Rhinolophus ferrumequinum: one gene and its partners. The protein of the gene in region 1 purifies or fractionates together with the protein of each later gene. This does not show direct contact. Links are inferred from orthologs where the notes say so. Each region holds a gene or a part of one and is shown on either strand. Other genes may lie near its edges.

Evidence for each region.
Region 2: the proteins of SOX2 (region 1) and HDAC1 purify together in Homo sapiens (affinity purification with mass spectrometry, with the first as the bait; 3 studies listed by BioGRID). This does not show direct contact. The link is inferred for Rhinolophus ferrumequinum from reciprocal best matches to the Homo sapiens genes SOX2 and HDAC1.
Region 3: the proteins of SOX2 (region 1) and CTNNB1 purify together in Homo sapiens (affinity purification with mass spectrometry; 3 studies listed by BioGRID and IntAct, with this or other methods). This does not show direct contact. The link is inferred for Rhinolophus ferrumequinum from reciprocal best matches to the Homo sapiens genes SOX2 and CTNNB1.
Region 4: the proteins of SOX2 (region 1) and CUL4A purify together in Homo sapiens (affinity purification with western blotting; 3 studies listed by BioGRID, with this or other methods). This does not show direct contact. The link is inferred for Rhinolophus ferrumequinum from reciprocal best matches to the Homo sapiens genes SOX2 and CUL4A.

What each region holds. Positions count from the first base shown.
Region 1 is NC_046285.1:62,840,386-62,847,536, forward strand, and holds SOX2 (transcription factor SOX-2), read right to left. Parts: upstream 2,680-7,151; 5' UTR 2,230-2,679; coding exon 1,267-2,229; 3' UTR 1,158-1,266; downstream 1-1,157. UniProt on the Homo sapiens protein: Transcription factor that forms a trimeric complex with OCT4 on DNA and controls the expression of a number of genes involved in embryonic development such as YES1, FGF4, UTF1 and ZFP206. Binds to the proximal enhancer region of NANOG.
Region 2 is NC_046292.1:22,158,057-22,166,407, reverse strand, and holds the start of HDAC1 (histone deacetylase 1), read right to left. Parts: upstream 3,477-8,351; 5' UTR 3,369-3,476; coding exon 3,320-3,368; intron 1-3,319. Other genes in the region: tyrosine-protein kinase Lck, read right to left, coding at 7,345-7,547. UniProt on the Homo sapiens protein: Histone deacetylase that catalyzes the deacetylation of lysine residues on the N-terminal part of the core histones (H2A, H2B, H3 and H4).
Region 3 is NC_046300.1:12,304,906-12,312,943, forward strand, and holds the start of CTNNB1 (catenin beta-1), read right to left. Parts: upstream 3,578-8,038; 5' UTR 3,418-3,577; intron 1-3,417. UniProt on the Homo sapiens protein: Key downstream component of the canonical Wnt signaling pathway.
Region 4 is NC_046287.1:55,720,422-55,728,826, reverse strand, and holds the start of CUL4A (cullin-4A), read right to left. Parts: upstream 3,777-8,405; 5' UTR 3,298-3,776; coding exon 3,144-3,297; intron 2,188-3,143; coding exon 2,072-2,187; intron 1-2,071. UniProt on the Homo sapiens protein: Core component of multiple cullin-RING-based E3 ubiquitin-protein ligase complexes which mediate the ubiquitination of target proteins. As a scaffold protein may contribute to catalysis through positioning of the substrate and the ubiquitin-conjugating enzyme.

The DNA of each region.
Region 1 (7,151 bases):
ATTTAATTGTTGCAGTTACATTAGCACATGCTACTGGACTAGAATACCAAGGTTTTAGGTATTTTGCTTTCTTGGCTGAGCACAGTATATTCCCCAAGGAGTTATGTATAATCACAGTGTTATCCAAATAAATGAAAGACTCAAGAATAATTTCAGTGTCCATATTTCAAAAATTTATTTATCTCAAACTGTGCATAATGGAGTAAAAACTTAAGTTGAAAATGTACCTGTTATAAGGATGGTATTAGTTCAAATATATATACATGGATTCTCGGCAGACTGATTCAAATAATTCAGAGCCGAATCTTTAAAATACAACTACGGAAAATAAAGGGGTGGGGGGAGAACCTTAAAATATCACAATAAATTTACAGAAATATTACAAACCATAAGAAAATATTTCAAACACAGTAATTTCATGTTGTATTTTTATCTGAACACAATGGAAAGTTGGGAAACAAAAGCTATTATAAATTACCAATGATGTCAACCTGCATGGCCATTTTTGCTTTTAAACAGTAAGTTAAAAAAAAAAATTTAGTACAATCTAAAACTTTTGCTCCTTTAAAGAAGACCACGGAGATGGTTTTGCCAGTACTTGTTCTAGTTTGTTTCCTTTTGTACAATTTTTAAACAATTAAAATGTCCAAAATCTTAATAATTTTCTTCTTTCCACGTTTGCAACTGTCCTAAATTTCAGCTGCAGAATCAAAATTCAGCAAGAAGCCTCTCCTTGAAAAATATTGGCAAATTCTCAGCTTATAAACAATGGACATTTTGATTGCCATGTTTATCTCGATAAATACTGTACAAAAGTTGCTTGCAAATATTAAAACATTTTTTCGTCGCTTGGAGACTAGCTCTAAATATTATTGGTAAAGACTTTTGCAAACTTTCTGCAAAGCTCCTACCGTATCACTAGAACTTTTAAAAAGTTTTGTGTAGTTTTCTTTCCTCCAGATCTATACAAGGTCCATTCCCTCGCCCTCCCTACCCCCACCCCCACCCCGTTTTCTCTGTACAAAAATAGTCCCCCCAAAAGAAGTCCAGGATCTCTCATAAAAGTTTTCTTGTCGGCATCGCAGCTTTGCGTGAGTGTAGATGGGATTGGTGTTCTTTTTTGCAGATGTCATTTGCTGTGGGTGACGACTTTTTTGTTTTGAGCGTACCGGGTTTTTCTCCTTGCTGTTTCTTACTCTCCTCCCATTTCCCTCGTTTTTCTTTGAAAATCCCCCCACCCCCCACCCCCAGTTCACTGTCCGGCCCTCACATGTGCGAGAGGGGCAGTGTGCCGTTAATGGCCGTGCCGGGCACCGGGCCGCTCTGGTAATGCTGGGACATGTGAAGTCTGCTGGGGGCGGCCGGCTCTGGCACCTCGGCGCCGGGGAGATACATGCTGATCATGTCCCGGAGGTCCCCGGCCTGGCAGGGCGCCCTGGAGTGGGAGGAAGAGGTAACCACAGGGGGGCTGGAGCTGGCCTCGGACTTGACCACCGAGCCCATGGAGCCTAGCGCCATGCCAGGGGTGCCCTGCTGCGAATAGGACATGCTGTAGGTGGGCGAGCCGTTCATGTAGGTCTGCGAGCTTGTCATGGAGTTATACTGCAGGGCGCTCACGTCGTAGCGGTGCATGGGCTGCATCTGCGCGGCGCCGTGCGCGTTGAGGCCCGGGTGCTGCGGGTAGCCCAGCTGGTCCTGCATCATGCTGTAGCTGCCGTTGCTCCAGCCGTTCATGTGCGCGTAGCTGTCCATGCGCTGGTTCACGCCCGCGCCGAGGCCGGCGCCCACCCCGACCCCGCTAGCCATGCTGTTGCCGCCCGGGGCCAGCAGCCCGCCAGGCAGCGTGTACTTATCCTTCTTCATGAGCGTCTTGGTTTTCCGCCGGGGCCGGTATTTATAATCCGGGTGCTCCTTCATGTGCAGCGCTCGCAGCCGCTTGGCCTCGTCAATGAACGGCCGCTTCTCCGTCTCCGACAAAAGTTTCCACTCCGCGCCCAGACGCTTGCTGATCTCCGAGTTGTGCATCTTGGGGTTCTCTTGGGCCATCTTACGCCGCTGCCCGCGGGACCACACCATGAAGGCGTTCATGGGCCGCTTGACGCGGTCCGGGCTGTTCTTCTGGTTACCGCCCGCCGCTGCCGCTGTGGAGTTGCCGCCGCCGCCGCCGCCGCCCCCCGAAGTTTGCTGCGGGCCCGGCGGCTTCAGCTCCGTCTCCATCATGTTGTACATGCGGGCGCTGTACGCGGGCCCGGCCCGCCGGCGACCGCCGACCCTCGGCCCGGCCGCGACTTTGGGGGCCCGCGGGCGGGGGGAGAGGAGGAGGGGAGGCGGGCGGGGGTGTCGCGAGCGCAGGGCTCCGCGAGGAAAATCAGACGAAGAATAATTTGGGGGAAGAAAAGAGAGAGAGAGAGAGGGAAACTGGAATCAGGATCAAAAAAAGCGCTTCCCTCCTCTTCTGGCCGATCCTGCCGCCGCCGATGATTGTTATTATTATTTTTTGGAAAGGCTTAAGCCTGGGGCTCAAACTTCTCTCGCTTTCTTTCTCTCTCCTCTTCTTTCTCTCAGTCCTAGTCTTAAAGAGGCAGCAAACTACTTTCCCCCTTTGCAAACACTCTCTTCTCTGCCTTGACAACTCCTGATACTTTTTTGAACAAGTTAATAGACAACCATCCATGTGACGGGGGCTGTCAGGGAATAAATGGGTTTCCAGCGACCAATCAGCGCGCGTCGGCTCCTCCACTCGAGCCCAGCCTCGCAGCCGGGTTTTGCATGAAAGGGGGCGGGGCCTGCTGGTCCGCGGGCCGCGCGGGGGAGGCAGGGGGAGGAGGGGGATGGAGGGAGGGGGAGGCGGCTCCCACTGCCAGCCACTGAGAAACCTTTGTATCCCCTCTCGCAGCAACAGGTCACACCACACGCCTTTTCGAAGGAAGTGGGTAAACAGCACTAAGACTGCGATTTTCTTCTTTCTTAAAACTTAATATTGATTTACTTTTTGGTGCGGGCTCTTGAAATGAGGAAGGGGCGCGAAAAGCCGCTAAGGTGTGGGGGTGGGGCAGGAGAGAGTGGGTGGTTCAGGGCGACTGTCCTACTGGTATTTCAGGAAACAGGCAGTGTTGGATGGAGTCGGTGTGTCATTGTTCTCCCGCTCCTCTGCACACTTCCCCCACCAACTCCAGCCTCTCTCGTGCTTTTCCCTCGCCTCTCTCTTCCCCTTGCTCCTCTTTCTCCACAGGTGCCGACACTCGCTCACGCACTTCTCGCACTGTCCCGACAAGAAGTTAGGAGACGGAACGCTCAATCCCCCAAACCTTTCTTGCTTTCACGCAATTTGTTCTGTTTTAAAAGTAAATCCTGCGCGGACTATGCGGCCGACTCTAGAGCGAGGCTAGGCAGGCCCTGGGTGAGCTGCCGCAACCTCGCTCTTCCCTCCAACTCAGCTCTGGCGCAGGAAACCACAGCTTGTTCCCTCACCCTCTCCCACCAGTCTTTCCCCATTCAGTCGGTGCAAAGGGGATGCACGTCCTCCCTCTCCATTCTCCTGCTGAGCCTCCCCCAAAGGATTTTAGTTGTGCCGGTTTCAGAAGGAGGCTGGGGGCAAGAAAAGAGCTCAACAGAAGGACGCTCAGAGTGCAGGCGGTGGGGGAGCGTTAAGCTCAACTTCTTGGCATCCCAGGGCACTGTGTGGAGGTGGCATTTGGGCCGCACTCACAAACTCCCTCCCACGCAGAGTTCACAGGACTCGAGCAGAACCAGCCCTGGCATTTCCCCCTAGTGACTTCTACCGTGATGGCCGCATTTCCCGGGCCGCCCGGGTCTGGAGTGTGCGCTCGGAGGGGGCTGTAGGCCTGGGAGGAGGGAAGGGTAGTGCTCGCCAGGCACAGGTGCAGGCATTGCCGGCAGGAAGATGGAGGCCAGGACTGGGGAAGAGGGGATCCCAGTAGGGCCAGGGCTGAAGGAGGATGGGATGGGGGCGGGGTAGGGACTCAGAAATCCTGCCTGCCCTGGACCCAAGAGGGTAATTTTAGCCGCTCTCCCATTGTCCGGACGTAAAGATTTCAATAGGTAGGCGCTCAATGCGGAGAGCAATGGCAGCACGTCCGTTACAAATAGGTAGTTTTGTTTCTCTTGTTGTCGCTACACGGAGTCAAACAAAGCCCCGTCTAAGTTTCCTTCCACTCTCTTGTTGGGATCTTTGTGGCTAAAATGCACTTGACTACAAAGGGGGGGAACCCTGATGCCATTTCTTTTTTTATAAAGGGCTTAAACCATCAGGGTTACTTATTTTCTTTCTTCTGTAACACTCTCCGCCCCCTTCTCCTCTGATCCACCCTTAGTCACCCTAAGAAAATGTACTGAATAGTATCTGTCGGCCATGTTCCATTTATTATCTTTACAAAACTTTGCATTGTTTTGTTCTTTACTAACCTTCTTCCCATAACCGTCATCACCCCCACTCCAACTTCTTCAATCCCTGCCCTCCCAAGTTTTTCTGTTCTTGTCAAACTCAAGATTAAGTATGCTCACTGGAAACCCAGAAAAGTTGTGAAAAAGAATCCTGTAGACTTTTCTTAATAATTTATTATTTCTAATCACGGCCCACCCCCCTTACACACACACACCCGCAGGTTCTCCTTTTTCTCTTAAGTTATGGTTTGTTTCAGTTCTTGGGAACCCAGGAAGGACGAGACTGGCCTTCTCAAAACGCATAAATGTAGTCACTCTTCAAAATAAAGCAATGTCTTTTTTTTAATTGAAAGTGTAATATTAAGCTAATCACGCACATGAAGATTAGGAAAGAGAAAAGGTTGAGTTGATCTGGAGAAAAGGCGGCCACGGCCTTTTCTGAGCGTCTTGGTTTCAGGGATGTGGCTGGTGCGCCCCCTACTGGTGAATTCGCTTTCCCAAGACTATGGATTTTACCTTTAAAAGAAGGTGTTTGGAAATAAAAAAATGGGGGGTGGGGTGGGAGGAAGATCAAACTAAATACACGTAATCTAAACAAAAGAGAAGTTAACATATCATATAAGCTATGGAACCGAATCATAAGACTCAGATTTAATTTGCTTAACTTAGAAATGTACATATATAACCTCGAGAGAAGTGGGAGGTTAAATCATGGGGAAAAAATAGGTACAAATTGTGAGATTCAACATATGAATGAATTATGATTGTCCAGATTCCACGAAGGGCAGACCAAGCATTCACTTTATGATTGTGTATGCATTGATCTGCGCTTAGTATAATAGCATTATTCCAAAAAAAAAAAAAGAAAAGAAAAAGCTTATGGATAATTAAGTTTGAAGAAAAAAACCCAAGGGGTTGGTATGGGTAATGGCGGTGTATATGTATTAAAATAAATGTTAATAGTGGATGGTTATACAGCAAATGTTTTTAACCTTTCTCTCTCCCTCTCTCTCAAGGGGTAGTAGTAAGAGGCACAAAATTTTCCTTAAGATGATATATAAAAGCTTTTATACATCGTCAGATGTCTGTGTTTGTGCCTGACTCTATAATAATTCATTTAAGAGGTTAAAGGGGCTGGCTAGGTCTTTTGTTAATTGCTTTTATCATATAAATAAGCTATGGAAATACATTACAATTGTGTTATCATTGGTTGCATTTATTTACAGCTTTATTTTAATTAAGCCTGCTGTACTTATCAAGGCAATAAACTAACTGGATGGCATTTATGCATAATAATGTGCTATGAAAATAAGATTAAAGAAGATGGTGATAGCAGAAACAATTTTCTCATTAGACTTTTTTTAGAACATATGCATTTAAAAAAATCAGATCACTGGCCACTCTATTTCAGTTCAGCACCATCACTGGCCCCTAAATATAATAATAACTATAACAATCACGATGTATGATAGAAGCAGTACTGTTTTAGATTTATAACAGACGGCTACAGTACTAATAACAATACACCATTGACTACTAAGGAATCAAAATAAGACTTGAAAGAGGGTGCTTCATCCTTCAAAAATTTTAAATGTTGCCATTGGTACAATTTATGAAAATTGAAGTGCTTAATATAAAGAGAGTGTAACATTTCCCTTCCATGGGCAGCAAAAAGCTGCATACTTTTAGAGCAAGATTAGAAATTAAGAACAAAAATGCATAATTCCTGAGATATTCGGATTTGATTTTGTTCTACTATAGGCCTCTGCCAAGAATCCTTAACTGATTAAGTGTAGTTCAATTTTACTTAAAAATCTTTTGCACTGATATGTCTCTCCTAAACTCCCCTCATCCCTCCTCAAGTATTATATCTGAAGCCAACTAACAATTTTGTGGATAGGGGACTGTAGACTTATTTTTTCTTCTTAGTGGCAAATAGAGGTTTAACTTGCAGTAATTAGGTGAGAACTAGCCAAGCATCGTACTATTATGATGCTTGTTAAAAAACGCTTCTTTTCTGCATCTGCATTTGAGTGTGTTCCCCTCCTCTCTTAATCTTCTTATGGAAATGAAGGCAAACGGCAGGGAACCTGCAGAGTCTTGGAGAATGTCCTTGTTAACTGGAATTTCTCAGCATTGCTAATTAGCAGAGTTTGACGACGACCACCAGTATTGGGGGGGAAAGCTCTGTTTAACCACTCACAAACCATTCTGAGGAAGAGCAGACTAATTTTATTTTGTAATTAAAATCTGAAAAGGGCCCTATTTGACAGTTAGGGCTATGAGAGTTTTATCTCCCCGTGAAATAATTACTGCCTTGATAACTCAATTTTCTGAAAAAATGTCAACTGTGGGCTCCAAAAGTTTTAATTTCATTATGTAAGGAAAAAAAGAGAGAAAAATAGAAGAAAATGTACAGAAAGGTTTTCTAATTCTGGAACTAGTTAAATGTATTAGGAGCCAGATTTGGCCAAATGAAGGTGTTTTTTTTTTTTTTCCTCCCTTTTTTTGGTCACGTTTCCTCCGGATCTTAACCTTCCAAACATCTTCACTGAAAGTGACCATAGTAGTGATTTTACTGCAGTAAAAGAGATCATACCAGTGTGGCAAGTCAGAGGCAAATAAAACTAAAAACAGAGGTATGGCAACCCAAGAAAATTTCCTGATTTTAAAAGCCAAAAATAAAGGAAAATTCCAGTGTTTACGACAATGCTGATGCAATCTGGTAAGATGAGATTTTATTGATA
Region 2 (8,351 bases), on another chromosome or scaffold:
CCCTGTGTAGGCAGTCAGGAGCCACATGACCATTATCATGTTATATAATTGGGTTCCTACTTACGCAAGTTCCTGGCAGGGGCCTTGATCCCTAGCAACTCCCTTGCCTATCAAGCCTGGATCCAGCCAAGGCTTAGACTTGAGGAACTAAGATACCTTATCTAGACGGCTAAGGGAGTACCTGAGGGTGGTGCCCAGAAACACCTTCTTAACAGTTTTGAATTGAGTTGCTGAGAGAGTTTAAAAGAAATAATCCTTTTAATTCAGATACTACTTTTACACTTTAGATGAGCTTTTCCCACTGTTCTCATAGTTTTTCAGTTTCACAGAAAAGTGACCTGAGGCCTAGAAAGGTGAAGTGACTTGCCCAGTACTGCAAAGCTTCTGAGTGGCAGAGCCAAATTTGAGTCCCAAGTTAGTGACCTCACTGCAAAACTGTTTCTTAAAAGTAAGAAGTCTGCGGCCAGATGGCTCAGCTGGTTAGAGCGCAAACTCTGAACAGCAGGGTTGCCGGTTCAATTCCCCCATGGGATGGATGATGGGCTGCGCCCCGGGCAACTAAAGACTGGAAACGACAACTGGACTTGGAGCTGAGCTGCACCCTCCACCACTAGATTGAAGGACAATGACTTGGAGCTGATGGGCCCTGGAGAAACACACTGCTCCCCAATATTCCCCAATAAAATTATATATATAGAAATTATTAAAAAAAAAAAAGTAAGAAGTCTCCCTTCTCTGAACACTGGGTCCCTTCTTTTCTTCTTTTTAAACTGAGAATGTAGAGGTCACAAAACTGTGCAAACTGATACGGTTACAAAGTCAAAGGATCCAGCCTCAAACGTGTCTTCACTACTGCCCAGCAATCCTTCCAAATTTATTTTCCTAGCACCTTCTTTCACAACAGCTATTTAACAGCTAACTCTCTTCAAGATTCCTGCTCTACCAACTGCCCTCAGGAAAAGGAATATTCCCCAACTTCATCTTGAAAACTCCCTCGACTCTCCCCACCAAACTTACCTACATTTGAACTTTTTCTTGCCACTTACCTTCTCACCAAGAAGGAACTTCCTCTTGAAGGCTAGTGTCCCTACCTGTGCTCTGGTGTCCATCTCACCTGGTCTTTTTAGGAACCTCCATCATGACTAGCCCCTCTCCTGTATCTCCAACCTTTCCTCTCTGGCTATTTTCCCTAAGAATTTGAATATGCTCAACTCTCAACCATTACATCTCTCCTTTATCAGCAACCCTCTCTCTGCCCTGGACAAGTTTCATTAAAAAGGGTCCAGCCTGATGTCTCCTCTTCACCCATCCATTCATTCCTCACGCTACAGCAATCTAGCTTCAGTTCCAAACCTAGCACGGGAAACAGTTCTTGCCAACACTTGTCCCTCCCTCTTTTGGCTACTGTAACCCAACACTTTCTGGTTCACTTACATCTCTGGCTATTCCTCTGTATCTTTTTATTCATTTAATCAGCAAGCATTTACTGAGAGCCAACTATGAGTTAAGCACTGTTCTGGGGGAAGAGCATATAGAGGTAGACTAGACATTGTTCCTTTCCCTAAGGCATTTACCATCTGTAAGTATAAAAAAGTAAATGGGTAATTACAATACACAGTGACAAGTGCTATGGCCGGGGAAGTACAGAGCACGAAGGACATTAGACTTTTCCACTTCCTTAGAATTCCACCCTGGATCCTCTTCCGTTCACCCTGTATAACTTCTTGGGTGATGGCATCCTCTTTTGTAACTAAAATTCCCATCTGACAACTATGTATGCTGACGTCTATCAAAAATCTCCTCATTTCTATCTTCTGAACTGCAGACCAGAACGGCTAACTGCCTACTGAACACGATCTAGTTGGATGTCCCCCAGACATCTCAACAAGTATTTCTTGAAGAAAAAAAAAGTTATCAACGGACATGATCTCCTCCACTCGGCATCAAACTGCCCAAACCAGAAACTTGGGATCCTTGCCTTCTTCCTTACCCCAACCTTCATGAATTTAATTTCTGTCCTAGAGCGAGAGTTCTAAGGTAGAAATCTGATGATGTCACTAACCTGCATAAAGCGTCTATGATTCACAAGTGCCCTCAGCATAAAGTCCAACTTCCTTAGGACAGTACGCCCGGCCCTTCGTGACCTAGTCCCTAATGCCTTCTCCAGCCTCATCACCAGCAACCTTTCCCTCACCCCTGTTCCCTCACTTCTACACTCTGCCCTCAAATCTGCGCTTCGGCCCTATGGACACATCCCTGATGCTCTTCAAAGCAGCTGTCCCCTCTCTCCCCTCTAAACTGCTGTCATCTTTGCCTGCCCTGTGCCAGGCTAATAACCCCTGTTCTTCAGATCCCAACTGAGATGGCACCTCCTTCCCTGACTCCTCACACTGGGCTGGGTGCCTCTTCTCCTGTGCCCCGGTAACACTCTGAAAGTTCCTTTATCCCAGCAAGATAACAGAGAGCAGTTCTCTGTCACTGTCTATCTTCCTCTCCAGACGGAGCTGAAGATGGGAAGTGACTCGATCAACTCCATGGCCACCAGCAGCTCAATGCTACCTAGTGCAGAATGAGGTCTCCAGAGAGTGTGGTGACATGAAAAAGTCTGTTTTAACAGCTCGCATCCTTTAGCTTCCAACCCGAGGGACCCCCTTGCCCAGCAGCAACTGCAGGCCCTGCTCAGGGGCTGGGGGAGGGGCAGTGGTGCCGATTAGTTGGTGATTCCTGAAGGACTCTCCCCAAAAAGGATGAGGAAGGAAAGGGGCAGTGAAAAGCCTTTGTACACTCAGCAGGAACACATACCCTTGCACCCCTCCCTCGGATTCTGCCTCCGGCCCTTGGCCTCAGCCTCCCCTCCAGGAGTCCCCTCAAAGTCTCCTCATCAGACGTCTTCCGAATTCCCCACCAAGATCACCTCAGGCGACTCTCTCGGGAGACCTCAGCCTCTTCCCTCAGTCTCGACCTCCTTTCCATTCCTCTGAGCCTCTTCCCTCAGGTCCGACCTCCTTCTCTCAGCTTCCTTCCTCAGCCTTGATCTCCTTTCCTCTGAGCCTCTTCCCTCAGTCTCGACCTCCTTCCTCTGTCCCGACCTCATTCCTCAGCCCAGACTTCCATCCTGAGCCTCCTCCCTCAGTCTCGGCCTCCTTCCTCCCAACCTCCTCCCTCAGCCCGGACCTCCTTTCCCTTCAGCCTCCTCTCTCAGCCTCGTCTTCCTCTCAGCCTCCTCTCTCAGCCTTGCCCCAACGCCTGTCTCTCCCAGCCTCCCGCTCCCGGATCCGGCCCGGCCAGGCCCCGCCCCCGCTGCGAGGACGGTGCTCACCGTCGTAGTAGTAACAGACTTTCCTCTTGGTGCCCTGAGTCTGCGCCATCTTGCTCGCCTCCCGTCCCTCCCGTCCGTCCGTCGGTCCGTCCGGCCTCCCGCCCGCAGCTCTGCTCAGCGTCCGACCCAGGGGGGAGGGGGCGGGCCTCCAGCCCGCCCCGCCCGTCCCCTCCCGGGCTCACCTATAGCCGCGCAGCCCGGGCACCGCTCCAGCCAATCAGCTTACGCAGGGACGGCCCGGAACTCGGCAGGGGGCAAGGGCAGCCCGGAGGAGCCCGGAGAGGCAGCCCAGGGCCCCCTGGGCCTGTACCAAGGTCCGCGACAGGGGGGTGGGGGAGCTGCCCGGGGACCGTACCATTAGTCCCGGGGGAAGAAAGCAGGTCTGTAAACTTCACAGTCCCATTTCGGTGTTGGAGGCGTGCTTGGAGATAAGGGGCCAACTTTGTACAATTTTACACAGAATCCACTGAGGTCTACAGGGGGGAAGTGACTTGCACAAGGTCACTCAGCTAGTGAAAGGGCTGAACGTGGATTATAACTCAGATTTGGAGGAAAGAGAATTAAACTGACAAACGAAATAAAAGTGCTGTGGGCCAAGTACTGTGCAGATTATCTCAATTATTCCTCACAACAGTTTTGGAGGAGGCCTTTTTATCCCCATTTTATAGATAAAGATATTGAAGTTGAGACCTTTGTGACTTGCTCAGACTCACACAATTAGTAATTAAATTCAATTGTTTTCTTTTTCTTGTTTTTTATTAGTTTTTCCTCTAAATTCAATTTTCAATTGTACATATATTTTGAATGCCTATTATACATCAGGGACACTGTAACAACGTGGCAGAACCTAGTCTCTTTCTCCAAGCCTACCTCCCTGATGCAGATGCCCAAGAGGACTGAGGAGTGCTTTTAGCTAGGAGAAAACTGATGGTCCCCTGAACCTGGAGCAGGGTTTCTCTAGCTATTGGAACTATTAACATTTTGGGCTGGATAATTATTTATTGTAGGGGACTGTCCTGTGCACCATAGGATGTTTAACCGCATTCTTGGCCTCTACTCGTTAGATGCCACTGGCACCCTCACCCCAAGATGTGACAACCAAAATTGTCTCCAGACATTGCAAGTCTCCAGGGCAAGGAGGGGAGGGGTTAGAGGAAGTATAAATTGCCCCTCACCCTACACTTGAGACCACTGCACTAGATCAGTCATCAACTGGTCAGTATTGAAAGCTGAAAGGCTGAAAAACACTGTGATGGGCCATTAAAATAACACTAATATTTAGTGAGTGCTTACTATGGGCCAAGTAAGTTACTCACTCATGGTCCTATAGTCAATAATATACAATATGCTTCTTTACATTTAAAGAGTGCTTGGACAATTGGGTTCCTCAGTTGGGAATTGTATTGGGCCATTAATAATGAAGGTAATAAGAGATCTAATACTGGGCAGTTCTATTAAAGAAATAACAAAAGGCCAGGGAATAAACTCTATTCCCAATTTTGTGTTGCTGCTTCCTAGCTAGGAAACTTTCTGGGCCTCCATTTCCCTCTTTGTAAAATGGAGAGGATAAGAAAACAAGTTGACAGACTCTATGGCTGCACAGTTTCCAAAGGAGGTTGTGGGTGTGGCAGCATTTTATAAAATGCAGGACATCACACACTCAAATGCCAACAGAGATCAGGCAGGTGATGTAAATGACTGGATATATATTATATTTACATTGTTTATATTAGTTTGATTCAGGCGCTTTGTTTGCATATTTTTTAATTGAATTCTTTTTCACTCTCTTCAATTGAATTCCTTTTCACTTTCCCCCATCTTTCCACAAACACACTGCCATCTTCAGGTATCTTCAATTTTCTCACTTTTTAATGGAAATGTGGGTGCCAAAAAAATTTCATTTTCCTCTATATTGTAAGAAGAAGAACATGAACATGATGATAAATAGCTGCTAATAGTTTCATTGTCTGGGAGCAAGAGAGAGTGGAGAGTATTCTGGCAAAAGGAGAGCCCATACCCCATCCAAACGGGGTGATCACTACTCAGCTCTAGGACAGATAAGTGCAAGGGAGCCAAACCTTCCTGGTTTTTCAAGAGATACAGAAATCTGGAGATTTATGCAAAATCTATCTAGTTTTATAAATTGACTGCTAATTCAGTCTATTATCAACATAACAGTAAGAGCCATCCTTTAAAATGTAAGTCAGATCATGTCATGGCTCTGCACAAATCCTAGTAAAGCCTCCTCAATATGTCTCCTACAAAGGCCACAAAGCCCCAGAGGATCTATCGCCCTCCTTCAAGCAGCCTTTACTTCTAGAGCTGGCCAGGGAAGCTTCTTCCTCAGGCTGTTTCCTCTGCCCCACCACTCCTCCCCCACACCAGGAGGCTCACTCACTCACTTCCTTCAAATCTTTGCTCAGTCACCTTCTCAATGAGGGCTTCTCAGACCATTGTCTTTAAAAATGTTAACCTCCCCAAACATGACATTCCTAATTCCCCTTACCCAACTCTATTTTCCTCTTAGCACTCATTACCTTGTAGCATACCGTATCATTCACATCTTTGTGATGCTTATTGTCTGTCTTCCCTTGCTAGAATGTACGCTCCACAAAGGCAGAAACTGTTTTATCTACTGTATATCCTGAGCCCAGAACTGTGCCTGGCATACAGTAGATGTTGAATAAATATTTGTTAAATGAGTGAATTAACTCGATGTTTAAAAACATCTTGAAAGTGAATCAAAACACATCTGAAGCCAAATATAGCCCTTGAATCATTAGCATGTAAAAAAATGCTAGGGCCGGCCCAGTGGCTCAGGCGGTTAGAGCTCCATGCTCCTAACTCGGAAGGCTGCCTGTTCAATTCCCGCATGGGCCAGTGGGCTCTCAACCACAAGGTTGCCAGTTCAATTCCTCAAGTCCCGTAAGGGATGGTGGGCTCCGCCCCCTGCAACTAAGATTGAACACGGCACCTTGAGCTGAGCTGCCGCTGAGCTCCCGGAGGGCTCAGTTGGTCAGAGCGCATCCTCTCAACCACAAGGTTGCCAGTTTGACACTTAAGGGATGGTGGGCTGCGCCCCCTGCAACTAGCAACGGCAACTGGACCTGGAGCTGAGCTGCGTCCTCCACAACGAAGACTGAAAGGACAACAACTTGAAGCTGAACGGCACCCTCCACAGCTAAGATTGAAAGGACAACAACTTGACTTGGGAAAAAAAAAAAGTCCTGGAAGTACACACTGTTCCCCAATAAAGTCCTGTTCCCCTTCCCTCCCACGCAAAAAATTGCTATTGCTCTTATGTAATAGGAGGGAGAGGGTCCTGGGATATATACTAGGAGGTTCTAGGTAGGAGTCGCCCTGAAGCCTTTGGGGTGGGGATTTAAAGGGTTTCAAAGAGCCCGTACAGCAAAGAGTCGGGACCTCCTTTTGGCCCCCAGCGTCAGCAGAGCTGGAAAAAGTTCAGACATCCCCTCATCCCATGGTTCACCGCAATTCAGGGTTATCATCTTCTGAACCCCCACTCTCCCCTCCCAAGGAAGAAGAGATAGGAGTGGGGAGCAGAGAGATGTAAAACCTTTATCAACAAACAGACATTTATTGAGCTCCTGATGTGTGACAGGCACCAAGGAGGAGCACACAGAGGTATTAGAAAGGTCTCCCCCTCCAGGAGAGAGATTCTTTAGGACCAGGAGAAAGGCAAAAGGGGTGGGCAGAAGCTGGTGTCAATCACAGGCCTCTCTCCTTTAGTGGTCTCAGGAAGTAGGAGGGCCCAGAGAGGGATAGCTTGGACAGGTGTCCAAGACATATATGTACAGGCCACACATACACAAGGCACATGTGCAGAGCCCACACAACTCAAGAACCTGTGTATAAGACACAAGTGGATGTGTCACATGTAGATAGGATTCACGTGCAGGGTCCATATGTGCATAGGCCACATGGGAACGGCACAAGAACTGCTTCTTCCCCAGCCAGGTTGGCTAGATGCGGGGAGGGCTCCACGTCCCAGCCAGCTAGGCCTCTTAGGGCTGGGGCTGGTACTGGCCCTCCGTGGCTGTGAAGAAGTCCTCCAGCACACTGCGCAGGTAATCAAAGGTGGGCCGGTCCTCTGGACGCTCTTTCCAGCACAGCATCATGAGGTCGTACAGCTCCTCCGGACAGTTGTCAGGTCGTACCATGCGGTAGCCTCGTTCTAGGTTCTGAATCACCTCAGGATTGGTCATCCCTAGAGGTTGATGGGAGAAAGGACATCAAGTCTCCAGGTATAGGAAGCCCACAGGTGGCGCGATGATCAGAATATTTAACTGGCACGGTGTGAGCACCAAACCGGAAGATCTTGCTCTTCCTCAATGATAAGGCCTGCTAGATGTTAGTCATGCCCCTTGGAGTGTCTGCTTTGGCTTAGACCCTCAATAACACACACCTGTAACATCTATTGGTTGTGAGACCTTGGCCTCTTTGAGCCTCAGTTTTCTCATCTGAAAAACAGAACAAATACTATGTTTCCCCAAAAATAAGACCTAGCCAGACAATCAGCTCTAATACGTCTTTTGGAGCAAAAATTAATATTATAGAATGTAATATAGACTGGGTCTTATATTAATTTTTGCTCCAAAAGACACATTAAAGCTAACTGTCCGGCTAGGTCTTATTTTTGGGGAAACAGGGTAGAAGCTCCTACCTCAGAGTTTTTTATGAGGATTGAATGAGATAGTGCATATAAAGTACCAAGTATAATGCCTGCAGAGGAGATACTGCATAAATAACACTTGTGATTATTATTATTTGGCGGGGAAGGGTGCGGTGGTCAGGGCCCAGGGCAGGATGGGAGCCCACAGCAAGGACAGTGGTGCAGCTTCTCAGGAACATGAGATGCTGCATCAGGAAGCCAGATGGATCAAGGGCCCCAGCAAAGCAAACCCTGCATAGGACAGAGATTTACAAGGTCCCTCCATGACCCATATGAAATAATTTTTGGTCCAGTTCCCTTCCTTTGTTCTGGTCCTGGTCCACCTGGCAGCCTTCTAGC
Region 3 (8,038 bases), on another chromosome or scaffold:
GGAGTGGGGAATGTCTCTTAAAAGAAAAGCTGCCCACAATTTTTAAAAAGTCAAAAAAGTAAACTCTTTTTTAAAAGGGTTCCTAATGTGATTGACTTTCTAAGAGCTGCTTTTTCCTTCAGGAGAAAGTAGATTATATACATACTTCAAGGATAACAGGGGGTTCAGGCCTCAACAGAGGGATCTAGGTTTTTAAACCAAGTCAAGCTCAGTCTTGCACGAAACACAAAAGAAGCATTCTTAAAGTAAACAGAGGAAATAAAGAACTTTCTCCTGAGTTTAAGTGATGAAAAACTATACGAGTTAACACCTACTCATTTTCAAGCAACACTAATCACACATTTTTCTTTCACAGACGCTAAAAACTATATATTCATTTTAGCCTATTAGCCTAGTTATGTATCACATTCATAATTACAACACTATTACACAAACAATAGTCTGTTAAAGAATGAGAACTGACTCTGCAAATCAGTTATCCTCTCAATGAGGGGTAACAAGAGGCTACCTGCTCTGGACGAAGAAGCAGTAGCAGCAGCTCCTCGTCTATGTTTAATATTTACTTTTATGGCATAAAAATGTTTTTTAATCAACCTATTTCAACAAAAGATATTGTATTACCAATAAAAAGAGGGCTACAAGGAAACAACCAAGTTAATACAACTAATGTTTTCAAAAACAATGTCAGAAGTCAACATGTAGCCCTACAAAAGGGTTGCCAACACTTTTTATTAGACATTTGTCCTGCTCTAAAAGCATTCATCCTTTCTGCCGTGGGTTAGCAATCAAGCAGGCTTCCAACCAAGCTCAAAGTACAAACTTAAAATTTACCACCTACTCATCTACAATGATTATCAGCAATTAGTAAACCATGAGAGAAACAAAATCATGGACAGATGTACTGTTTCAATAACAAAAGTTTCAGTAGGCTGAACATACTATGTAGCCCATTTATGGGGTTTTCATTTCACTGCTGCTTGTAACTTAGAGTGATAGTCAAACTTTTGAATTGTTCACATCTCTAGTTTCAGCAAGACTTAACACTCCTCTTCCCACTCCTCCCAACAACCAAGAAAAGGATGTATGAAGCTAGTTTTCTTAAGCACCACATCTCAAAATACGTTTAGAGAAACTTGCTGAGGAGGAGGAGGGAACTATTTATGAAAACAGACTTCATTTATATGAACAATTTTTATTCCAGTCATCACTAGGTAACAGTTGGAAGCTCAATTCATAGTTTCTTAAGTTTTAATACTGGAATATACATTTTTCTACCTAATAACCTTGGTAAAGGAAGCAGTCCGATAATTAGTCCAAAAGAAAGAACACTCTTGAATGCTTCTTGACACGCGAACACTGTTAAATGCCTCATTTTTTCATGAGCCACATTTTTAAAAACTTGGTTTTTCCTGAAAGCTATTTAAAATGACTATTCTGGCCTCTGGGAGAATCTCAGGCCTGGGACTCTAAATTACATGCTACTCTAAACTTTCTAGTACAGTTTTTTATTTCCCCCTCAAGGACCTCAGACTTAAATAGTCTCAACATTCCTTTAATCCTATAGAATAGCCTTCTGCAAGTTTTTCAAGTTACTTTTGCAATCACTTTAGGGCCTTGCCCTTGGACGTGGCCTTCAGAACAAAGACTAGGTCAAAGTAATGAATATCGGGGGCAAATTAATCAAATTTTGTGGAAGGATATTATCAAATGCACTTTATTGTTCCTCTTTTTTTAATCCAGAGACTTTGTGGTTTTAAATGTAAAAGTAAAGTAAATGCAGCAGCAACCTTAGGTCAGACAAAAAAAAAAAAACAAAAAAAATCTCCAAAATACGTTTATGTCACTAATTTAAGCAGATACTAAACCGTAGTAGCATTATGCAAATAACATTTTAAGCTATGTCTAACATTTCCTAGAATGAGGACTAGTTAACACGAAGACATATGAGGGTGTTGAATGTTTACCGAGAGGCAATAATGAAACGGCTTCCTAAATTCCAGACAAAATACTTAGTAACTTAGCCATCCGAAAAACATTAGCCTAGACTTCATCAAAGGATAGCCGTCTCTTCAAGTTGATGTCTAGTCTAAGCCACCACTATTCATGACACAAAGCTCTCATTTCACGAAAACCACTCCTCGATTTCCTTTTGCCGACCTCTGCATACCAGCAGGCCGGTCTCTCTTCATTCACCACTCACAACCGGGGGGCGGGTGGGGGGCAGGCCACAGATGTCTGAAAGATACAAACTAGGAGACAATACTCCCTCCAAAAGGGAACAGAAAACGAAGGGAACAACTACCCCCACCTGCCAAAGCCTTCCAGTTTAGCGGATTCAGAAGAGGGCTGCGAGAAACTTCCAAAGTCTCCGTTCGAGTCCTCTTCCCCAGGCAAAACAATGCAAGAAGTTGCAACGCCTGAATTTCCCTCGGCCCGTTTCGTAGCGAGGGAAACATTCACGCCGCTGAAAAGCAAACGTGCTCTAAAAATCAAGTTTCGCTGCCATAAAACTAGGGGAATAAATAATTCCTCCGAACGAGATCCTCGAAGCAGTCGGGGGCTGCACCCCGCGCCTTAACTGGTCAGAAACAGGAAGGCAGGCGCCCCAGCCCGCATTCTGACTGGGGTCTCACGCCCGATGCCATCCATTGCAACTCCCGGGGCACCGCACGACGCTTCACTCACCTGCACGGCACAAGAAAACATAGGTGCAAGACACGGATCTCCTGTGTGCAAATCCTACTGACGCATCGCACCGTTTGCACTGCTAGTTTGGTTCCTCTAAGGTTTAAAGTTGCTTCGATTGAAACAAGCGCCAGTGCCAAACTCAGGCGGAGCGTGGAAAAAAAAAATACTAACAATTCTCTTAAGAATTTTCCTTAAGGACGAGGGAGGGAATCTGGAGAGAAAGTCCACTAGCCCTATCCCCACGGCAGAGGGGACCCAGGGTGGTGTCCCAGGCCCGGCGCCCGTACCCCAACTCCCCGCTGGGAAGGCGGAGCCCCCGTCCCCACCCCGCCCCCCACCCCGGCCCCGGCGCATCCCGAGGCGCAGGGTCCCTCCCCCAAACTCGGCCGCGGCCGGAGCCCCTGACGGAAACCAGAGTCCCGCCGCCCCCCACGCCAGCCATCCCAGCTCTTGGACGCGCCCTCGCGGCGCCCCCTCCCCGCCAGCGGCGCCCCCAAAACCCCCGAGAAGCAGGGTGACCGAAACCCGGGCCCGGCCGCCGCCCTCCGCCCCCGGGTGCAGCCCGCCCCCGCCGTCTCCCCGGCGCCCCCAGCTCCCCGCTCCGGGCCTCCGGGGCTGCGCCGAGCCCGGCTCTCAGCCGCCGCCGCGATCGCGCGCCCTCGACGAAGTTTGGCTCCGAAGAGGGAGCGGGAGCAGCCCGGAAGGGTAAGGAAGGGAGCGCCCAAGCACCTCAGGGGAACAGGCTGCTCCCGCCGCGGGAGTCCGACCGTCCTCGGCCTGCGGTGGCGGCTCGGCGGGGACTGGAGCTGCTCCTCGCACCGTCCTCCGTCTCCGCCTCCCCTCGCTCTCCGCTCTCGGAGACGGGATAACGCGGCTGCCACAGACCGAGAGGCTTAAAATGGCGCCGCACAAGGACCTCTTATAAGTCGCGCAGGAGCCGCTGTATCCTGCCGCCAGCGGCGCAGCGCGGAGCGTTCCGCCGCGCGAGGACAAGGGGCGGGGCGCGGGAGGACGCGGAAAGTAGTCCCCGCGCCGCGGAGCCGCCGGGCGCCGTCCCAACGCCCGGGGCCCGGGCGGGGCGCCCTCGCGCTCCCGGGACGCGGTCGGGGATGGAGCCTCACCGCTGCCCCGCCGTGCGGGACCGGAGGGCGGCCCGCGGGGGCGCCGTAGTTCGGGGTGGGCTGGAGGGAGGAGGCACCGGGATCCTCCACTGTCCCGAACCGGACGCCCCCGCCCCGCGCGTGCCCCGAGCCGTGAGACCCGACGCGGGGCTTGCCGCACGCTTTCTGCCGCCCGCGGGTGGCGGCATCTCGGCCCCGGCGCTCGGGGGCCGCGCGGAGCAGCCCGCACAAGTCCTGGGAGGGCGGAAGTTCGGGACTCAGTGGCGGAGGCGCGGGCGCTGAGGTCGCGGCCCGTGGGGCCACTGGCGCTTCTGGGCGCCGCCTCCGCACCGCGGTCGGTTGGGGGACTCGGGCGGGTTAGGGCTTCCGCCGCCGTTGCGGGAGGGCCACACACTCCCTGAAGGGCATGGCTCCCAGCGGAGCTGCACACCACCCCCAAGCCCCCCAGTGTCCGGATCGTGGGTCCCGCATCCCACCCGTCGGCTCAGCCTGAATCTGGAAGTGAAGTACCGGGCGGAGCCGCCTGCTACCCCCACTCCTGAAGGCTGGGAACTCTTCGTTAGAATGGGCGCCTGGCCCCGTAATTCAACAAGTCGTTATGAGTACCTACTGTGAACAAATGACGGATGGAAATGGGCTAAGTGTACAGCCCTGTCAATTAGGTTAATTCTTATAGATTCCGCTTTTATGTGGGTCCACCGTGCTACTAAGTATCAACAATTTTTTTTTTTTTTGCGGGGTGGGGGAGGTTGGAGAAGATGCATTTCTATGGTATTACTTATTTGAGAGGTCCAAGTATGTTGTGAATGGAAGGAGCTATACCGATTAGGCAGCTTCTCATTTTTTAAAACTAATTTTCTATCCTTCAAAAACATTTTCTAATTCGTTTTAATAGGCTGAAGTTGGTCTTGATTTCCCTTGGAAATGTCTCCATTGTAATCCAGCAAGATTGGCGTTTGTCAAAGCTGAAACAATTATGATCGATTCACTTTCTCTAGCCTGTCGTTTTATGCTTATTTTTCTCCAAAACGATGGAGAGAGTACAAAAAGCAACAGTGAAAGTTATCTTGAGGCTTTTATCCCTGTAATTAATGCATGCAAACAATAGGTCTTTATAGTAGGTACAGGCAGGAAACCCACTTCCTCATTCACTCATGGAGTGGGACATGTAGTTTTAGGCATAGCTAATGCTTCAGGGCCCAACAGGTTCTTTATATATATATATATTATATATATATATATATATATAAAATATATATATATATAATATATATATATAAAATATATATATATATAATGTCTTAAAGATATGTTCCTATATACAGTGGTAATGTCAGCTGCTATCACCATAGCACATGTGGGCCACTGCAGTGGATAAAATCCACATACTGACTGAGATGATGTTCGTTGAGATCCATTGTCTAGAACGACTTTTACATTTGTATCTTTGCTAGTAATTCTGTGGAAGTGTTGCAAATGGTTGTGGTTAACCGGGCTGCTCATAATTAAAACAGATTGAGCAGAAAAAGGTATTTCATCAAAGCAATGTTTCTAATATAAACGTTTTCGAAAGTGTAAATAGCATTTCCAGGTACTAATCCCCAATTTTAATTCTCGTACACAGAATTAGGGAATATACAGTTGATTTGATTAGCCATACATTTAAAATCAGATGACTGATTAATCAATATTGAAAGATTTTTTTTTTTTTTGTACAGATGTTCCCTTTTTCTGTGTTCAGTTTCTTGGTTTTTGTTTTTTTGCTAAATAAGGCACACTGTTAAAACTGTTTAAGAAATATTTGCACTATTAGAACACCTACAGAATAAAAACTCTATATTCATATTTCTCTATTCAGGTGCCAAAGTAATTGAAGGACTTTTCTATAATTTAGATGTCTTAACCTAAATTTAGAATTAAGATTTTTAAGTCCCTAGTAATACTTTAAGCAAACACACAGTATCAAAGGAAATATAAAATTTGCAACAATGCAGCAAGCTGTTTTTCCCATCAAATTTAAGTGTACTGAAGAATTACTGGGTGACTAGCATTAAAAAAAATTAGTTGAATTTAACAAATTACTGAGAATTTGTATTTACTTATCTCAAAAAACAAATTGTTTCAATTGTCTGACCAAAAATATGAGATGAATAACTTCTGTGAAATGAAGACAAATGCCATCATTAAACCAATGAGAAATACAACAAAATACCTGATGAGTTGGTGAAATAAGTGATTTTGTAAAACAACGATTCTTAAAAATTAACCTTGGGCAATACGTTTTGTGAAAAATACTTGATTATCCTTGTACACATTTTCCTCCTAGAGCCAACCACTTGGGTTTGACATAAGTTAGTTCATTTTGTAAAACTGCAAAAGACAAATGGTTCTAAATTTCAGGCTGTATTCCTAGAAACCAGAAGTGTCTTCAGCTGGTTTAAAAGAGGAGGCATTACTTGCCATAATATCAGACCATTGGCACATCAAGCAGTGACTACATGGACTCTGAATACAAAGCATCCTCCTTCACTAACACCCATCTTTTGAATCACCTTTAGGCAAAGAAATAAATGCCCAGATTGTTTTTGCACTTCCGACAGAAACATTAATCCGGGCAGCACTTTAAAGAAGACCCGTTCACTTTCTGCACAGTTAACTCTATCAAATCTATTCATTAAACATTTATTGAGCACTAAGACAATAAGCTCCCTTTAGAGGGAGATGGATGACTGGCTCCTTTTGATTAGGTCCCTTAAAGTAATATAAAATTGTAATTGTTAATCAACCTTACTTGAGAGTCAACAGAAACAGTAGAAAACAGTGAAAGGAGGGTGTGGCCTCTGGACTCTATATCCGAATCTCTCTGGGAAGAATCCTCTCCCAGCAGAAAGGTAAGACTAAGTAATACTCCATGCATTTATGAACAATAAATCCTAACTCTCTAAGAATGCCTGTTAAAAATATTTCTTTTGACAACCTGAAAACACTGGACAGTAGTCAAGATCAGCTTTTCATTTAGCAGTTCACCGAGTGGGCTATTTATGGATTGGAACTTTTTGATTTGCAATACATCATCTCAGGGTTCACTGTTATCTCTTGATTTCTTTCCAGCTGAACAGGCTAAGTAGTTGTAAATACTTCTTGTCAGACTACATGGTTGGCTATTCTCGCACACAGGAGTAATCTAGGAACCTACTGGGCAAATTCGGCAGAGAGCTACTGTGGAAAGCTTGCATCTGGTGTGCACTGCAGACCAAGGGAGGGGCGGTGAAGTTGGTGGGAGGCGATGGCCTTGGTGGTGGCGGTGGCAGCAGCAGTGGTGGTGATATTCCTGGCCGCTTCAGTTATGCCAGGAACACTCTTCATGCTGGGGGTTATGTGTTCTCCAGGCCTTCATTGGTTTGACACAACAGTCCTTGCCAGACTAAGGGAGTACATTTTAATGGCTACCACAGAAAGTGAAGGAGAAGCAATGGACACATCATCCACTATAATCAAAGAGCACAAAGGTGTATGTTTTGTCAGTGTTTCTAAGAACTAAGATAAGTACGGCTGTATTGCGTAGAAATTATGCTTTGGAGATATAACCCCCCCAACATACAACACACACACACACACACACACACCTCTATTAAAAATTTCAAAATGGTTGCAGATATTTCATTCACAAGAAGGTTAAAGGCGTTTCCCATCGAAAGAAGGATTAACTTACCCGAGGATTCTGGGACTGCAGATGGATACTGCGGCAAAATCCTAAATTCATCGAAAAAATCATTTCTGGACTCCAGCTGCTAAAAATAATAGAATTATAGTAATTCATGAATAAGATTAGAACAAGCCATTTTTCACATTCCAAAGTGTTCAGGAAAAAAAAATGATTCTTTTCTTTTAACTCATTTCTTAAACAATGCAAATTTTAAAGTAGCTTTTCTTTCCAGAGCACGAAGCGCCATGAAATCGATAATTTTTGATCTTTCGGTTAGTAGGCAACATGGTGAGCTAGTTGCAGGGACTGCAGGCAGCAGACATGTTCTTGTCAGCTCAAAATTTTCATATTGTTTTTGAATCCATTGAGATTTGTAGATGTGATATCACCGTTTTTTGTCTTAGCTGGCACTAGGCACTAGGGACGCAAACCCTCAGTTTATCGACCTAGGCATGTCTATTGCTTTATATATATTAAAAACAGGGAGTCTTACTGGATCTTAAACAAAAAATTATGTAAAAGG
Region 4 (8,405 bases), on another chromosome or scaffold:
AGGGGATCCAATATATGATGATAGAAAGAGAACTGACTCTGGGTGGTGAACACACAATGTGATATATAGATGATGTATTACAGAATTGTACACCTGAAATCTAACAATTGTTACCCCATAAACTTTAATTAAAAAAAAAAAGGAAGGTATGTAGAATGGCAATAGGCACATAAAAAGATGCTCTACATCATTAGGGAAATACAAATTAAAACCACAATGAAATTCCACTAATAGCTAAAATTAAAAAAACTGACAATACCAAATGTCGGCAAGGACATGGAACAACCTAGAATTCTCATATACTGCTGGTAATCTGCAAAATGGCATAGTCATTTTGAAAAGCAGGAAATATCTTATAAAGTTATATATACACTTTCCATATAACCATGAGAATCTACTCCTAGATATTTACCCACAAGGAATGAGAATATACGAAAGGTCGGACAATTAACTTCACTTACACAGTGGAAAGTTTGAACTTATTGTCCGACCATTCGTATGTCCACACAAAGACCTAGTCGTTATTGTTCACAACAGTTTTATTCATAATAACCAAAAACTGGAATCCCAAATAACCATAAACCGGTGAAAGGATAACCAATTGTGATACCTATGCTACTCAGTAACAAAAAAACAAATTACTGTCACATAGTATATGCATGAATCTCACAAGCACTACCCTAAGTGAAAGAAGTCAGGTATAGAAGCAGCCAGATGGCTCAGTTAGTTAGCGCCCAAGTTCTTCACAACAGAATTGCCGGTTTGATTCCCACATGGGCTAGAACAACGACTTGGAGCTGATGGGCCCTGGAAAAACACACTGTTCCCCAATATTCTCCCCCCCCCCAAAAAATGTCAAGTATAAAAAGATTGCAAAATCCATTTAAATGAGACCCTAGAAATGGCAAAATATACCGACAGAAAGCAAATCAGATTGCCAATAATTGGGAGTCAGTGGAGAAGACTAAATGGAAAGATGCCTCAGGAAACTTTTTGGAGTGGTGGAAATATTAATAGTTTATATCTTGATTGTGGTGGTGGTCATAAAATTGTATATATTTGTTAAAACTTATTGAAATACATAGTATATGTAAAATTATACCTTAATAAAGTTGAAAAAATGTAATACACAAACTTAAGGCAAAGAGGGCACATATATCCATCAAACTGTCAACAGTAGTCTTCTTTGGATGGTGGGAAAATAAATGGTTTTTATTTTCTTCTTTGTACTCTTTTTGTAGTTTTCATAATTTTTACAATGTACTCACTTATGTAAACAGAAAAAAATTTTAAATTCATATTTCTTAACAGGATATCATATTGCTACCCAAAATGTGGGTAATAATAGATTAGTTAACAAATGTTATTCTTTAAAAACAAAGTATCAGAAAAACCAGTCCGCTTGTAAATGGAATATCCAAATAGTAAAATGTACTTTTGACCATTTTTTATGTTAGAAATAGAACATCATTACTTTAAATTAAATATATCAAAATTTGTTTTGCATTTTAATTGCAACAAGTAATCAGAAAACACAATTAAGTGGGAAAAAACAGCTCTATTAACAAGTGAAACCATAATAAGAGTTTTATATATAACATAATGGAATTATAACATTAATTTGCTGCGTATTTGGAAAATATTAAGTCATGTGGCTCTTAGAAACACACCTCTCTCCTGTAATGGGATAACTTTAGATATCTTTCTAGGAGCTTAAGCCTGAAACAAAACAAAAATCCCCAAACCACCAAAAAATGAGAACACTCATCGACTCTGGACATGTTGTCATAGGACTCCTGTCCTTGTTGGAGGCAAACACTTGGATTTCTAGTATTTCCTTCATTATTGACTCTGAAACAATACTGAGGACCACATAATCCACATCTGTATCACATTTCACTAGAGTTGGATAATCGTGTGATTTAGACAACTATAAAAACAACCAGGTAAGTGAGACACAGGATGCTGGCCTCATCACGTCCTGAAGATGTCCTTGTCTAAGAAAATTCAGGATTTATATCTCAATGAGGATTCTAACAAGCTCTACTTTTTCCCATACATGGCGCCTTACCTGGTAGAGTTCTTCCAGGTTGTATTTGATGGAAGTACTACTTTGTATGGCTTTCACTGCCTCATGAAGTTTCTGCCAGGTGTCCTGAGTGTAGTTATCAGGCAATTTAGGTCTGTCTGTAAATCCAGATAGAGTCAGTGAGGAATGACATCTATGCTAAGTCATAATCTTTCAAAAAACAGTCTATGAAAATGTACTTTAAAAGACACAAGTAAGGAACACAAATTAGGTTTTTTCAATACAAAGTATCGTATTTATAAATTTGTTAGGTTACAGACTATGCAACCGTAACATCTGTTTGCCTAAATACACTTCATATTGATACTTAGGATAAAAACACACAGGAAATATACAAATCTTAGTTTCCTTTCACATAAGTTGACTTTACAAACGTATACATGGAATACTTAAGTTCTATACAACATTTAAAGTCGAGTTAAATTGTTCAACGTTGGGAGGAAGGTGAAGAATAAGCTTATAATTGCTATCTCTACATCAAAGGTGCTTCTTATTTTGATAGCATCAGTGATACAACTGATGAAAAGTGGAGGAAGTAATAAAAATTACATCACGAAGAGCGTCAGTAGCTGCTACTTATTCTTGCTCTGCCATGCCAATCAAGATACTTGAATTATTTGGCCTATTTTATTCCAATTGGACCAACTATACAGATTAAGGAGAAAGCTGCTACCAGTAAACTCAACCCGCTGCCCTCACCGCAGCTTAAGCCGACATTCGGAAAGGCCCGCGCCCTCATCGGGGGAGCCCGGGGACCCCCACCCTACTCTGAGAGTCTAAAACCGGGACCAATGACCGCCAACTGGGAAGGAGACTTCCGAACAGTCGAGGGTCCAGCGGACCACAACCCCCGCAACCCCCACCGCCACTGGTGCTTTGAGGCCGCTCCGCCCAGCACCTCCAGCCCTCGCGTTGCTTCTCCCCAGGCCGACCCCCAGCTCTGTCCCGGGCCGCCCCCCCAACTCCATCCTCGGCCCCCAGGCTCCTCCCTGTAGCTGTCCTCTCCTCCTCGGCCCACTAGGTCTCCCGTCCCTAGGCCGCTCCCTGTACCCACCTCGGAAATTCTTGATCACTAGTTTCTTGGAGCCGCCGCTGCCCCCTGGCTTGGAGGTGACGGCGGCCGCGGCGAGGGACGCGGGCTTGGTGAGGCCGTTGGTGTGCCCGACGAGCGCCGAGAAGTTGCCCTTCCTGGGGGTCTCGTCGGCCATGGCTGCGGCCGGGAAGCAGCGGGCGCCCCGCCCCGTCCGGCCGCCTCCTCCGCCTCCTCCCCGACCCGCGCGGCCGGGCACCCGGGCCTCTGCTCTCCTTTCCCCTCAGCAACTCCAGGCTCCGTCAGCGCCGCTCAGTCCTGGCCCAAACGCCGCTTTGGCCTGGCCCAACCGCCGTCCGGTCTTCCCCCGGCCCCAGCTCCAACGCGACCGTGGGCCCGACCCGGCCCACGACCCCGAAGCTCGCGAGCGCGGCCAGTCCGCGTCAGCCGCGGTCCGTGTGAAACTTGCAACAGTCGAGGGGACGGCGGAGCGCAAGCCCTGACAGCTCCCGGGGGCCCGGCGTGTCCCGGAGCACTGTAGGGGCGCGCACGAGGCGTCCTCGCCGAGGGGAGGCGGGGGAATCCCAGCACAGAGACCCCAGCCTTCCTCAGCCCGGGCGCGCTGCCATGCCGGGTCGGAGATCACGCTCCCGCAAATACTCCCTGCGGAACCGAAATTCGGGGAAAGTGGGGTTGGAGGCGCGGGGCCGAGAACGGACCACGGACCGGAAGTGACGGGCCGGCCCGGAGCTCAAGCTCCGCCCGGTCCTGGGGGTGGGTACCGTCATGGCGCACATCACTATAAACCAGTATCTGCAGCAGGTAACGTTCGTTGGGTCCAATCGCGCTCGGTCTGCGGAGTCTTCTCCTTCCCTTGGCCTGCTGGACTTTGGGGTCCAGTTGGGCGGCCGGCGCGTGCGTGGCCGGGGTCGAGGTAGCCTGAGTCCTTGTTAGCCAGACGGGACGACTGAGGCAGGCACACCACTGTGTTTCTTAGGGACCCCGGGAGTACGCCGGTGGTCGCTGCCCTCAGTTTAGGGACGTGAATATATGTGTGTGTGGTGGGGGGGAGCTTAGTCCTAGCAGATGCTGAAGGGACCGTTAACCACTCGAAGAAGTAAGGGGTTCAGCCCTTGTGTAGTCATCAAAAGCCTGACCTAAGGGCCTGACTTGGAGTTTTGTTTCGCACAGACACTGGTGGAAGTAGGAGTTGGAGATAGCAAGTAATGCTGGCTGCTAGCCTCTACTCATAGCTACCACAGTAGACCTAGCCTTAAATAAAAGCTCTTAGGATAGGTCTACTGTGGCCTTATCTTTGCAGAGTTAACATTAAGTTGAGCAAGGACATAGACATTGGAGAACCAATATGACTATAGAATCTCTCTAGAATTTTATGTTTTTGTTAACCTTTTACAGTTTTCTTGCCCACTCCTAGTTCCATTTCTTTTTTTCCCTTTTTTCATTCAGGGTGCTTGAATGGTGTCGTACTCATGTGGACGCTGAATGTAATTTGTCGACTAGATAAGTGGAGGCATATAGAAGGGTGTGAAGCTCGCCCCTAGGCTGGGTGGTAAAGCTGAGTGATTTGCCAGTGTTCAGACCTACTCATTCTAGCGAGGAGTAAAGATAGTATTCGTGCTGGTCTGTCTGACTCTTTCATATTCCCATTTCACCAAACTACCTCTTGGTCTTGTTCTCTGCATTCTCAGAGGAGCACAATGAGAATCTCCTTCAATTGTCTATCTTATTTGATGAAACCATTTGGGGTGATGATGAGAAGAAGAATGATAGTGCTTGTTGAATAGTTACTAAGAACCAGTTCTTTAAGATAGTTGGTCACCATCTCTGCCCCCCCCCCCCGCCACACACACACACACACACACACACACACACCAGTGATGAGAACTTTGGCATCCTTTATCAGCTTCCTTGAGGCAGGGGCACTGATGGGACCAATATTTTATGATTACTCAGAATACATCAACAAGTAACCCTGCACAAATTTATTCCATATTGTAAAGTGAATCCTTAAAAGCTGGATTGCTGGCTCAAAATGTAAGTGCTTACATAGTTTTGTTGAATAGTCAAGTGGCAAAATCTTCATTAGATAGGGTAGTGTAGACTTTCCCAGCTGATTCCCTGAGTGGTACAACAGATGAGGAATTGGTTCCTTTTGGTGTCCTGGTGATTTATGCCCCATCTCTTCTGGCTGCAGGTGCCTGGGCATAGGATTACTGGATCGGGGAGTAGGTGTATGCTCTCACTAGTAGGTACACCAGTGTCTCAGAGTGGCTGCCACTTCACCCCTTCCCTAGCAATGCATGAGAGTTTCAGTCACTTTATATTCTTGGAGTGCTTAGTATGGTCAACCTTTTTAATTTTAACTCTTCTGGTAGATGTGTAGAGATATCATGTTGCATTTCACTTGTGGGTAAGATGTGAGCACCTTCTCGTTTGTGTACCATTTGGATATTTTCTTTACGATGTCCCTGGTCAGAGTCTTGCGTGGATATAAAGTTTATATATGTAATTTTATTGTAGATAAATTACACTATATATGAAACTTTATGCTTGGCTTTCTCCTCACATTGTTGGAATTTTTATGTCATCTTTGATACACATAATTTAAAAATAACATTTGGTTTTCTAATACAAATGTCTTCTATAATACAGTCTTCCAGTATAGAAATATATAAGATAAAAGCCTTCTCAGCCCTCACCCCAAGGGGTCAGCTGGTGTGGCGTGGGGTCCTGCACTTCTTTCTGTGCTTGCGTGTCATACATACTTTGTCTTTTTCTCCCAGATCAAGTTACGCAGTTTTCCTGTGACTCTTTTTTTTTTAATAGAACTTTATTGGGGAACAGTGTGTACTTCCAGGACTTTTTCCAAGTCAAGTTGTTGTCCTTTCAATCTTAGTTTTGGAGGGCGCAGCTTAGCTCCAGGTCCATTTGCCGTTGCTAGTTGCAGGGGGCGCAGCCCACCATCCCTTGCGGGAGTCGAACCAGCAACCTTGTGGTTGAGAGCCCACTGGCCCATGTGGGAATCAAACTGGCAGCCTTCAGCATTAGGAGCACGGAGCTCCAACCGCTTGAGTCACCGTGCTGGCCCCTCCTGTGACTCTTTTTTTTCTTTTTTCTGTTTTCTTTCTTTTTTTAAAGCATATTGCGGACACATTCCTATGTTATTACATGTAGATTTATTTGATTCTTTTTCACAGCGTACTGTGACACCATTTATTTAGCCATTGCCATCCAATTTTTCTTTTATATTTAGATTGAATAGAACCGCCTTTTGAATTTTGGAAATATGTGGTTTATAAGCGCTTTCTTTTCCCTTAAGCTGTGTAAGTGAATTTTCAAATGTTTGCTTGTGTGACCCAGTAAAACTAGAATAAATCACCTTCATTAATAACCAGATAATAAACTGGCTTATTCTGCCCTCTCATTGTTTTTCACAGTAAGTCACCTGTTTATTTGCCTCCAGACGATCTCATTTTGAAATATAGTTATTGTTTGCTGGCTAAAGACAATATTGACTATAATATTTTGATTATGCTGACCCTTTCAAAGTAGGGAAAATGAATTTTGGTGTTATACAATGTGTTGTTTAGGTTCTATTAGAATAGAGTGTTTTATTTTCTACTTAGCTTTTCTTTTCTCCAATGCTGCAGGTCTATGAAGCAATCGACACCAGAGATGGGGCATCCTGTGCGGAGCTGGTATCTTTCAAGCATCCTCATGTTGCCAACCCACGGCTTCAGGTATGTAAAAAGAGTACACACACAAAGGGCTACAGGCTATCTGGCTTCCTAAGAGAAGTTTAGAGTTTGAGCTTCTACATTGCTGATTATATTTGGCAGTGTATAGGCTATACCTCAAACTGTGTAAACCAGTTTCGGGAGTAGAAGCAGGCATTTATGTATTTATGTGTTTATTTATTTTTAAATTTAAAGTCTCCTAGGTTGTTCTAATATACAGAACATATTGAAAACCATTGCTCCAAATAGAAATTAGTTCCAGAGACTTGATGAGACTCAGGTTCAGCTTGCTGGCCAGACACTCCATAGTTGGTGCTATGTGTTTCGTATTGATTACATCAGGGGCATGCACATCTGTTTGCCCATTTGTACTCTTAAGACTGAGTTCTTCAGTATAAAATTCCCTGTGAACCTTCCATCTGATGGTTCCACTCACTGGTGGCCATTGTCTGAATCAATTATTTCATTAGAGACTGTAGAATGATGATTTTTCTGAATTTGATATTTTTCCCCTCCCACATTTATATGTGTATTATATCAGTATCAGAGTGGACTCATTGATTCCCTTTTTTTTCTTTTAATTCAGTGTGCTAAATATAACCCATTGGGATGCTCATATTATCTAAAATTTGGCCATTGAGAAGAAAGGCAGAGTTAGAAATAAATGTCAGCTAGTCTAGCCCAGGGCACAGAGAGGGTGGTTCTATCACCAGGCACCTGAGGAGTGATTCCTAACATGGCATCTTTAATTCATTAGACCTTATTTATGTAAGGTATTATATGCCTTATTTATTAAGCACATAGTAGCTACTTACTAAATATTTCTTAACTAACTGGCTGTTAAACTTTAAGATATGTATGAAAGTGCCTTACACTATTTCCTAGCCTGTGGTAGATAAAACATTGTATTCATCTAGTGCCCTATACCTAGTTCATGCTTGATGAATATTTGCTGAAGTAATGAACCTTTTGTTTAGAAGTGCTAAAGTGTAAAGTGTTACTGTTAACTGTAAAGTGTAACTTCTTTTGAAACACAGGTTTGTTTAAATATCTTTCTACACATTGCATTCTTTCCATGATTGTTAATTTTATTTTTGCCATTTTCCTTCATATTTAATTTAGTTGGCTTCTCCAGAAGAGAAGTGTCAACAAGTTTTGGAACCCCCTTATGATGAAATGTTTGCAGCTCATTTAAGGTGAGGAAGTAAAACAAGCAAATTTTGAAATTGCTGAATCGACTAAGGATTTTATTTAACATCATCTAATGCTTGAAGCAGTGAATGATTTACTTTGAAAAAGTAGAAAAGTGTGTTTATAATTTTACTTTGGTAAAGCCTGTGAAAAATGTGATATTTAAAAAACTTTAAAATGTTAATAAACATGTTTTTCATTTCAAGGATCACACTTGTTTTTAAAAGTTAAAATTGTATTGTGATCGTGTCTTCATATGTCTATTGTGTGATACCATAAAAAAAAAATCTCTTGATAACCATCATATTGGCTGTACGGTGGCCTTTCATTTAGCAGG